Linked DNA regions of Macaca fascicularis. The protein of the gene in region 1 purifies or fractionates together with the protein of each later gene. This does not show direct contact. Links are inferred from orthologs where the notes say so. Each region holds a gene or a part of one and is shown on either strand. Other genes may lie near its edges.

Region 1 (3,750 bases):
CTCCAAACCTGTGGGAGCCATTTTAATGCAAGCTTTTAGAGGACAAACGCCTTGCCCTTAAGTTCCCTTCCAGCCCAACAAACACAGTATTATGCAAACGTTGAAGGCACCAAACCAGGAGTCTTATGATTAGACACTGCTTCTAGGGAGGCCACAAGAACCTCAATATGTAATTTCCATTTACAGCAAGGAGATAAGAACAAAGAAAATAGCTGAGTGTCTAAACTTACTTGTTTGGGGCAGTGGCACTGTTCAGTTTTAAGTATGTAACATCATTAACTGCCTGCAGTTTTACTCTAAGAAGCTAAGCTGGCCTGCCTTGCACAGACTTTTTTCAACTTAGAATGTGGTACGAAACGTTTCTCCTGATTAAATGAGCCTTTTTCCAATTTGGTGTCAGAAAGTGGGCTACTGGACACTCATTTGAAAGAAAAAAGATTACTGACTCCATAAAGTTGACATAACACAGCAATTGAATATATTTCCTGCATTTACAGTCATGTCAGATTGGTCTCCAAGCTGAAAATTTACGTACTGAACTTCTAGGGAAATTCTAAAGGTAATGCTAAACAAGACTCTACTTTTCCCACTTAACTTCTAGCTGCAGCCTTAAGAAGTCAAGGGAAATGTAAAAAGTGACAAATCTTATGTGGGGTCAGCATGCATACAGATGTGTGGATGAGACCTGAAAAAAGGCCAAAATGTGTTGGTCAGTGAGTCCTGAATCCAACCCCAGTCTGGTGGCAGATGAGATTTTGCACTATACATAAGTCCTAAAGCATGAGCACACTGCCACCACCACCCCCCAGCACACACATACCACCACCACCACCACCACCAGCTTCTGCCCCACCAATGTTTTTAGGGCTCTGCAACTCTAAGAACAAGCAGTTTCATTACATTTCACAAGCACATCACCTACTCACAGTTTGAATATCCAAACAAACCCCATTAAAGGTCTAGAGTCAAGTCACAATGAACTAAACACTTCTCCCCTGACTCAGGGTAAACAGGAAGTATAATCTTCAATCCTAGCTGCAGGTTATCAGGAAAAACAGTGGATTCAAACAGTCACCTAAAATCAAGACACTCTTTAAAAAGCCCTTATTTTGTTCCTGCTAATGAAGCCCCCAACTCCTGCAGCCAAGACCCCCTATTACAAACAGACCCCAAATGTTCGCAAAACTCTTCAAACATGGTCACAGAGGAAATGGATTGCTTTACTTACCCAACAAATGTTCAAGCAACCGTCTCATTTTTCCACAGTTAGGAAGAGAGAACAGGCTGGCAGATTTGGGACTTGATCAAAAAGGAAATTTTTTTAAACAGTTACATGGTATTATTAAAAACACACAACAACAACAACACCACAACCCAACAACTGAATATGGAATGCTGTCATGAGCCACAGACATGATTTTATTTCCTCTACACTCCATCACACAGGAGAAGAGAGGAGGATACAATGTATAAAAGGGACAGGAAAATGAAAACAAGGATAAAAGGTAACATTAGTTCCTTGAAAATCATGCAAGAGTAGAAAACTAAGGGATTCAGAATCCTTGCAGATTTTTTCTTTTTTTTTTTTTTTTTTTTTTTTTGCAGGATGTTGTCCAAGATCTCTCTCCCCACACCCCCCAGTCCCCATCCCTACTCCAAAAACTTCCTCCAAAACCTAGAAAACACTTTCAGAAACATTTGCTGGCTGTAGGCTGGCTTGCAGAACACTCTGTAGCAACCTAAGTCAGGAAAACAGGCTGAACAATGTAGTTTCAAGTGCAGAAGCTCTGTAGAATAAGAGAAGACCGTGTACAGACACCACCACCCACCTAGGCCCCAGGAGCTAGACTCTCCTTAGCACTGCTCTGCTGAGGGTTCAATTCTTTTGCAAACACGCTCCTCTCTTGTCAAAACTTATCCAGCCTTCCCAGAACCTCTTTGGAGAGGCAAACTTGCCTGCTCTGCTGTCTGCCATGAGCTCTCCTTGGAGAGGAGCCTGTTTGCTTACCTTCCATTTTCTTCCCCCAGCAGGGCATGTGGCAAAAGAGAAGACAATAGTGCAGGGGGGGGGGGGAACTGCTCAGAGAGAGAGAGAGGGGAAGAGAGAGGGAAGAGGGAAAGAAAAAAGAAGAAGAAGAAGAAGAAAAAAAAAAAAGCTTCTTTTTTGGCATACCAGGATCTAGCTTCAAACTCTTCCAGAAACACCATGCCCTGGTGGAAGGAAAGGTGTGCCAGGCCCTTGCCAGTTTGCAAAATCAAGCTATGGCTAATGGCTACTGAGCCATGTGACCCAAGAAAGCAAAAAAATTCTCTCTAAACAGTTCCAAGTTAACATAAGTGCTCTGGGGGTGAGTGTGGCACGGCCAGCCACAGAGAAATCACACTGCTCGCCCACAATTCGGATGTCTCAGAGGGAGGGGGAAAAAAGATGGTTAAAAAGTCGAGCTTACCTCTGTGGATGCATTGTTAACACTGTGTAATGTCAATACTTATAAAACATGGAGGACAGGCTCCTAGTTCTCACAGAAAAAGGGTTTGGCACTTCGGCTGATGATCTGGCCGCCTAATAAAAGCTCATCCCCGATTGGCTGCCCTGGCAAATCGGAGTGTAAAGCCGCCCCGGATTGGCTGAAACACTTCCTGAGCGATTATCTTTGTGAGGCTCGGGTGAGCAAGAGCCATCCTGTGCATAGAAAAAGACAGGCTAAGCTAGGCCTTTTGCAGCAAGAAAAACTTGGGAAAGGGGCCCCCACACGCACTTCTCCTGCACCCTGGCTAGATTTCCCGGCACGGGCCGGCCAGGGCAGCCAGCCTGACCTGCTCCAGGGAAGCCTGAGGACTGGAGGCCCCTGGGAAGGGAGTTTCTTGGAGTGGGCTGGAACGGCTCACCCTCACCTGCCCCCAGAGAAACGGCCCTTGTCCAGGGAGGAAGGCCAGCCGTTTTCTAGAACAGTCCAGCAGGGTGGCTCTCCAAGGGGAAGGGGAAGCTGGGGAGTGGGGAGTCCCACGGAAACAGCCAAGGGGGCCAGAAAAAGGGGCTTGAGGCAGGCCTCTGAGGAGCTGGGGAAGCAGGCAGACCGGGGGAGCCACGAAAAATCAGCAGAGAGCAGCCCTGGCTTCTCAGAGGAGCGAGGAGTAGCTGCTGAGGGGAGGAGGGGAGCAGAGTGGTCAAGTTTGCATAGTCATTGTCCCCATGCCTCCTTGCAAGGCAGGCCAGAGAGCCGTGGGCCTCTCGCCCTGCTTAGCCAGTCCTGCGTGCAAAATCAACGTGGGTTCCTGCCTCCCTGCCACGATGCCAAGGGGGACCCCTCTCCGTCCTTACCCTAAGAAAAACCCAAAGCCCTCCTCGCAGGCCACATGCCTGGATCTACAAACTTCCCTTGCCTCCCGGCCCCTCCCCCACGGCCGAGGCCTGCTAAACCTGTCAGTTAAACACAAATCTGACTTCCGTATTAGCCTGCGATGCCTTCGGCTTCCTGCCTGTTAACCCTCTCTCGGACTCCGGGCCTGGCTGGGAAAAACTAGGCCTTGAGATCGCAGCAAAGGCCTGTGGAAAAATACCAGCTGCAGCTCTCCCGGCAGATGCAGAGAGAGAGAGAGAGAGAGAGAGCCGCTGTCTCTCAGCCTTTGCTTCCCAGGGAGGCGTGTACCTTGTGAATCCAGGGCACAGGCAGTGCCTCTCGGGCTGAGAAGCCATTTCAATCCAGAGGGAGACAGAAAGATGGCACGCTCAGCCCGGAAACAAGAGCC
Region 2 (3,375 bases), on another chromosome or scaffold:
GCATCTAATCTCAGTGTCCCAAACCTTTCAGGCAGGAAACGGTGCTACAGTGGATCAGGGTATCAAGGCAGTTGCTGAGACTGGCCTTGAGGATCCTGAAGCAGCAGGCTGTACACATACACCCAGAGGTGCTCGAGTGGTTCAATGGTAGAATTCTCATCTGCCAAATACACCACACAGCTAGGTGAGGAGATCCTCCTATAACCCCATCACCACCACCAAGGTGGTATACATGTTACCCTGGCTGCCAGCAACTTCCAGAATTCCTTAAGTGAAAGGGAGAGGGGAGTAAGAGGTGGGAAACAGAGGAAGAAACACCCCCATTCTCCTTTCCTATGGAGGCCACCAGTCATCCAGAAAGCTCATCTCAACTCCTTTGAAGGAATCTGGGCCAAGATGGTGCTTGGGCTCCATCACCACTGGGAGCTGGGGAGCAGTTTGGATCCCACAAGAAGGCTAGCTGGAGCAAGCCGCCTCGGTCCAGGCTGCATATCTCATAAAGCTGTTCCCAAGGCAAGAACCATCTGTACCTCCTTTGTTGTCCTTTGTCCTTTATTTTCCCTGTCAAAGACACCCCCAACACACACACAACACACACCCATGGCAAAGAACAGCTGAGCCAGGAGAAGCTGAAGAAAACAGCTTTTTATTTGTTACTATAAGAACCAATTACAGAATCCGAGGTTAAAAAAACGGACAAAAGATCTTTATTTCTGAGAACTGGCGTACAAAAGGCGGAGGGGGAGGGGAGGGAAGGAAAGAGCGAGCATGGCCTGGGGTTGATGCCAGCTTAGGGGCCTCAAACTCCAATTAGGATAGTCCGGACACCGGACAGAAAGAGAAACCCCCAATTAGGAAAAAAAAAAAAAAGACATGGCAGTGCACGCCCCCCTCCCCCAACCAGGTACCACCACCTGTTATCTGTTTACTCTTCCCCTCCCCATCCCCTTTCACAAAGGGAGGCAAAATTTTTAAAAAATTAAAAAACCCTCCCCCCAAAACTGTCCAAGACATCTGTGGGTCCTACCCCCCAAAACAGGCTAGGTTCCCACATGGGCCAAGTTCCTGCAGTCTGTCCTCCATCAGCAAGCATGGAGGCATGAGACAAGTCTCGAGGTTGTAACACCAGAGGGCGCCCAACCCCTCCAGGGACGCACACTCACTTGCTCTCTTCCTTACTCCTCACTCCCTTTGACACGAAAGGGAAGGGAGGTTTGGGTGCCCTGGGCATCCACCCTCTACCTCTCAGCCCACCTCCCTCCCCCACAGGTGCTCAATCCTCCAGGACAATAGGCTCATTAGTGCTGGCAGGATGTGAGGGTGCAGGTAGAGGGACAGGGGGCCGCACTGCCATCAGCGTTGGCTTCACCTTCAGGGGCAAGTTGGGTCGGCGAGCAGCTCGCCGCATTTCCAGATGGGTCAGAGCCTTCCGTAGGGCCCTGGCCAGAAAGAGCAAGTGAGAAACAGAAAAGGCTTAGAGAACACTAAGCCCTCCAGGTGAAGCCCCACATTCCACACTGCAATTCTGCCTTCTGGCCCATTCTTTTCTGGCATCCCCACCCTGCATCCACAACCTTCCTAGAGCTCTTGCTCTGAAACTCCTACTCCCCACACTCACAGCCTGGACTGTCCCTCTCAGCCCCTCCCATGGTAGACTCCCTACCTGGTATCCTTTGTGGCCACAAACACCACAGGATTGGGGGCATCAGCAGGGTTTAGTTTCTGACGCTTGGCGGCTGGCTGTGAGCTTGAACGAATCCCTGAAGCCAGAGGCCTTCCATTGGCAGAGAAAGGAACCCCTGCCCCTGCCATCTGGAAAAGAGGCAGGATGGCACAATGAGGGAAGGGACCCTCTCAGACTCCTATGAGAAACAAAAGCCCACCCAACTCAGCTTGGCCCACCCCTTTCTGTCAACTCACAGTCTCATAGGCCCGTTTCACCATAATGCCCCCCAGTCCCCGGTTCTGGGACAGCTGGTTTCTGTTGATCGGTGTCTTGGTACCCCGAGGTGTTTTTGGTTTCAGGGGTGCCTGGGCCACTGGAAAAAAAGTAATAGAAAACTTTCACACCTTTTCTTCCCTACACAGTTCCCCTTTGTTACTTCCATCTCTTCCCCTGGACCAGCAGTTTACCTGGGCATCCCCAAAAGTAGCAATGGGGTAAGGTTCTGGCAAGCTATCACTAGTATTTCAAATATCAGTATGACCTTATCAAATCAGTACAGTAACACTGAATAGTTTACAAAAAAAATTATTAAACAACAAAAGTACAGTTTGTTAGACTAAATCTCTGAGGACACTATGGGGAAGAAGAAAACAAGGGGAGAGAAGATGTTGGACAGGGAACGGACTGGGAGCCTGATGCCACCCTCACTGGTCCTCATCCCATACCCAGATCTTTGACGATAGTTGCCAGGGGCAGCCGCACCAGAGGGTGAATCTTCAATGGAGTCTTGGCGGCCTTAGGAAGTCGAATGGAGCCTGCAGAACAAAGATGAAAGCTTCTGAAGGGCTTCACCATTCAGGTCTCCTCTGAGGCCAGAAGCCAAGTCTAATCTTTAAAAAATTACCTGTGGCCTACTATGCCTCCTGTTATTAAACATCCAGAGAAACAATCGTCTCTGGGCAGAGCAACCCTAAACCCACCACCAGCCCCATCACTCCCTGTCCTTACACTCTGCTTTGATGGCATTGGCATTGATAGGAGCATACGGCCGTCGGGCAGCCCTCCTCGGCTGTAATAGGTCCCTGCACATGCGTCTGGCAAGACGGGTCAGTTTCGTGGTCTGAAGCAGGAAAGTTTGCCTGTTCTTAGCCAGTAGCTTGGCCCGGTTGGCGCTGGTTGTATAAGGGGAGAGACTTTGAGCTTCAGGTCTGGACAAATGACCCCTCGAGTGTGGCTCCTAGAAGAAGAGCATAGGAAAGAGAGAGAGCAGAAATCAGCATTGAGGCTCCCTTCTTTCTTCCATTCCCTGCAGAAGACAATTTATTCCTGCCTAATCTCTTTACTGACCTCTTGGCCTATATGTCTCCCCAACCAGCATCAAGCACCCCCTGCCCATCAAACCATCACCATATAAAGAGTTGGATATTCTGGCCCTCACCTAAGCTCACATCAATATGCTTACTGCTCTCCCCTGCTTTTACCCCCACTGATCCTTACCGTGGTACCCCGAGTGGCTCCCTCAAGCTGAGTTGGGGTCTTCAGTCCCCCATATTTCTTCCAGTAGATCCAACAGGAAGCACAGAGGCGGCACTGCATGTTAGGTGGGCCCCAGGCATACCACTGAGCAGACTGTGTGGCTGCAGAGCATGGAGAGGAGGGGGACAGGGAAGAAGCATGCTACCTGAGCCCCACAGATTCTTGAGCCACAG

Evidence for each region.
Region 2: the proteins of ZMYND8 (region 1) and MTA2 purify together in Homo sapiens (affinity purification with mass spectrometry; 3 studies listed by BioGRID and IntAct, with this or other methods). This does not show direct contact. The link is inferred for Macaca fascicularis from reciprocal best matches to the Homo sapiens genes ZMYND8 and MTA2.

Annotation. Positions count from the first base shown.
Region 1 is NC_088384.1:103,410,074-103,413,823, forward strand, and holds the start of ZMYND8 (MYND-type zinc finger-containing chromatin reader ZMYND8), read right to left. Parts: upstream 2,525-3,750; 5' UTR 2,465-2,524; coding exon 2,451-2,464; intron 1,300-2,450; exon of another isoform or gene 1,229-1,299; intron 1-1,228. UniProt on the Homo sapiens protein: Chromatin reader that recognizes dual histone modifications such as histone H3.1 dimethylated at 'Lys-36' and histone H4 acetylated at 'Lys-16' (H3.1K36me2-H4K16ac) and histone H3 methylated at 'Lys-4' and histone H4 acetylated at 'Lys-14' (H3K4me1-H3K14ac).
Region 2 is NC_088388.1:11,464,546-11,467,920, reverse strand, and holds the end of MTA2 (metastasis-associated protein MTA2), read right to left. Parts: intron 3,304-3,375; coding exon 3,164-3,303; intron 2,904-3,163; coding exon 2,675-2,903; intron 2,482-2,674; coding exon 2,392-2,481; intron 2,040-2,391; coding exon 1,921-2,039; intron 1,813-1,920; coding exon 1,664-1,812; intron 1,440-1,663; coding exon 1,274-1,439; 3' UTR 631-1,273; downstream 1-630. UniProt on the Homo sapiens protein: May function as a transcriptional coregulator. Acts as a component of the histone deacetylase NuRD complex which participates in the remodeling of chromatin.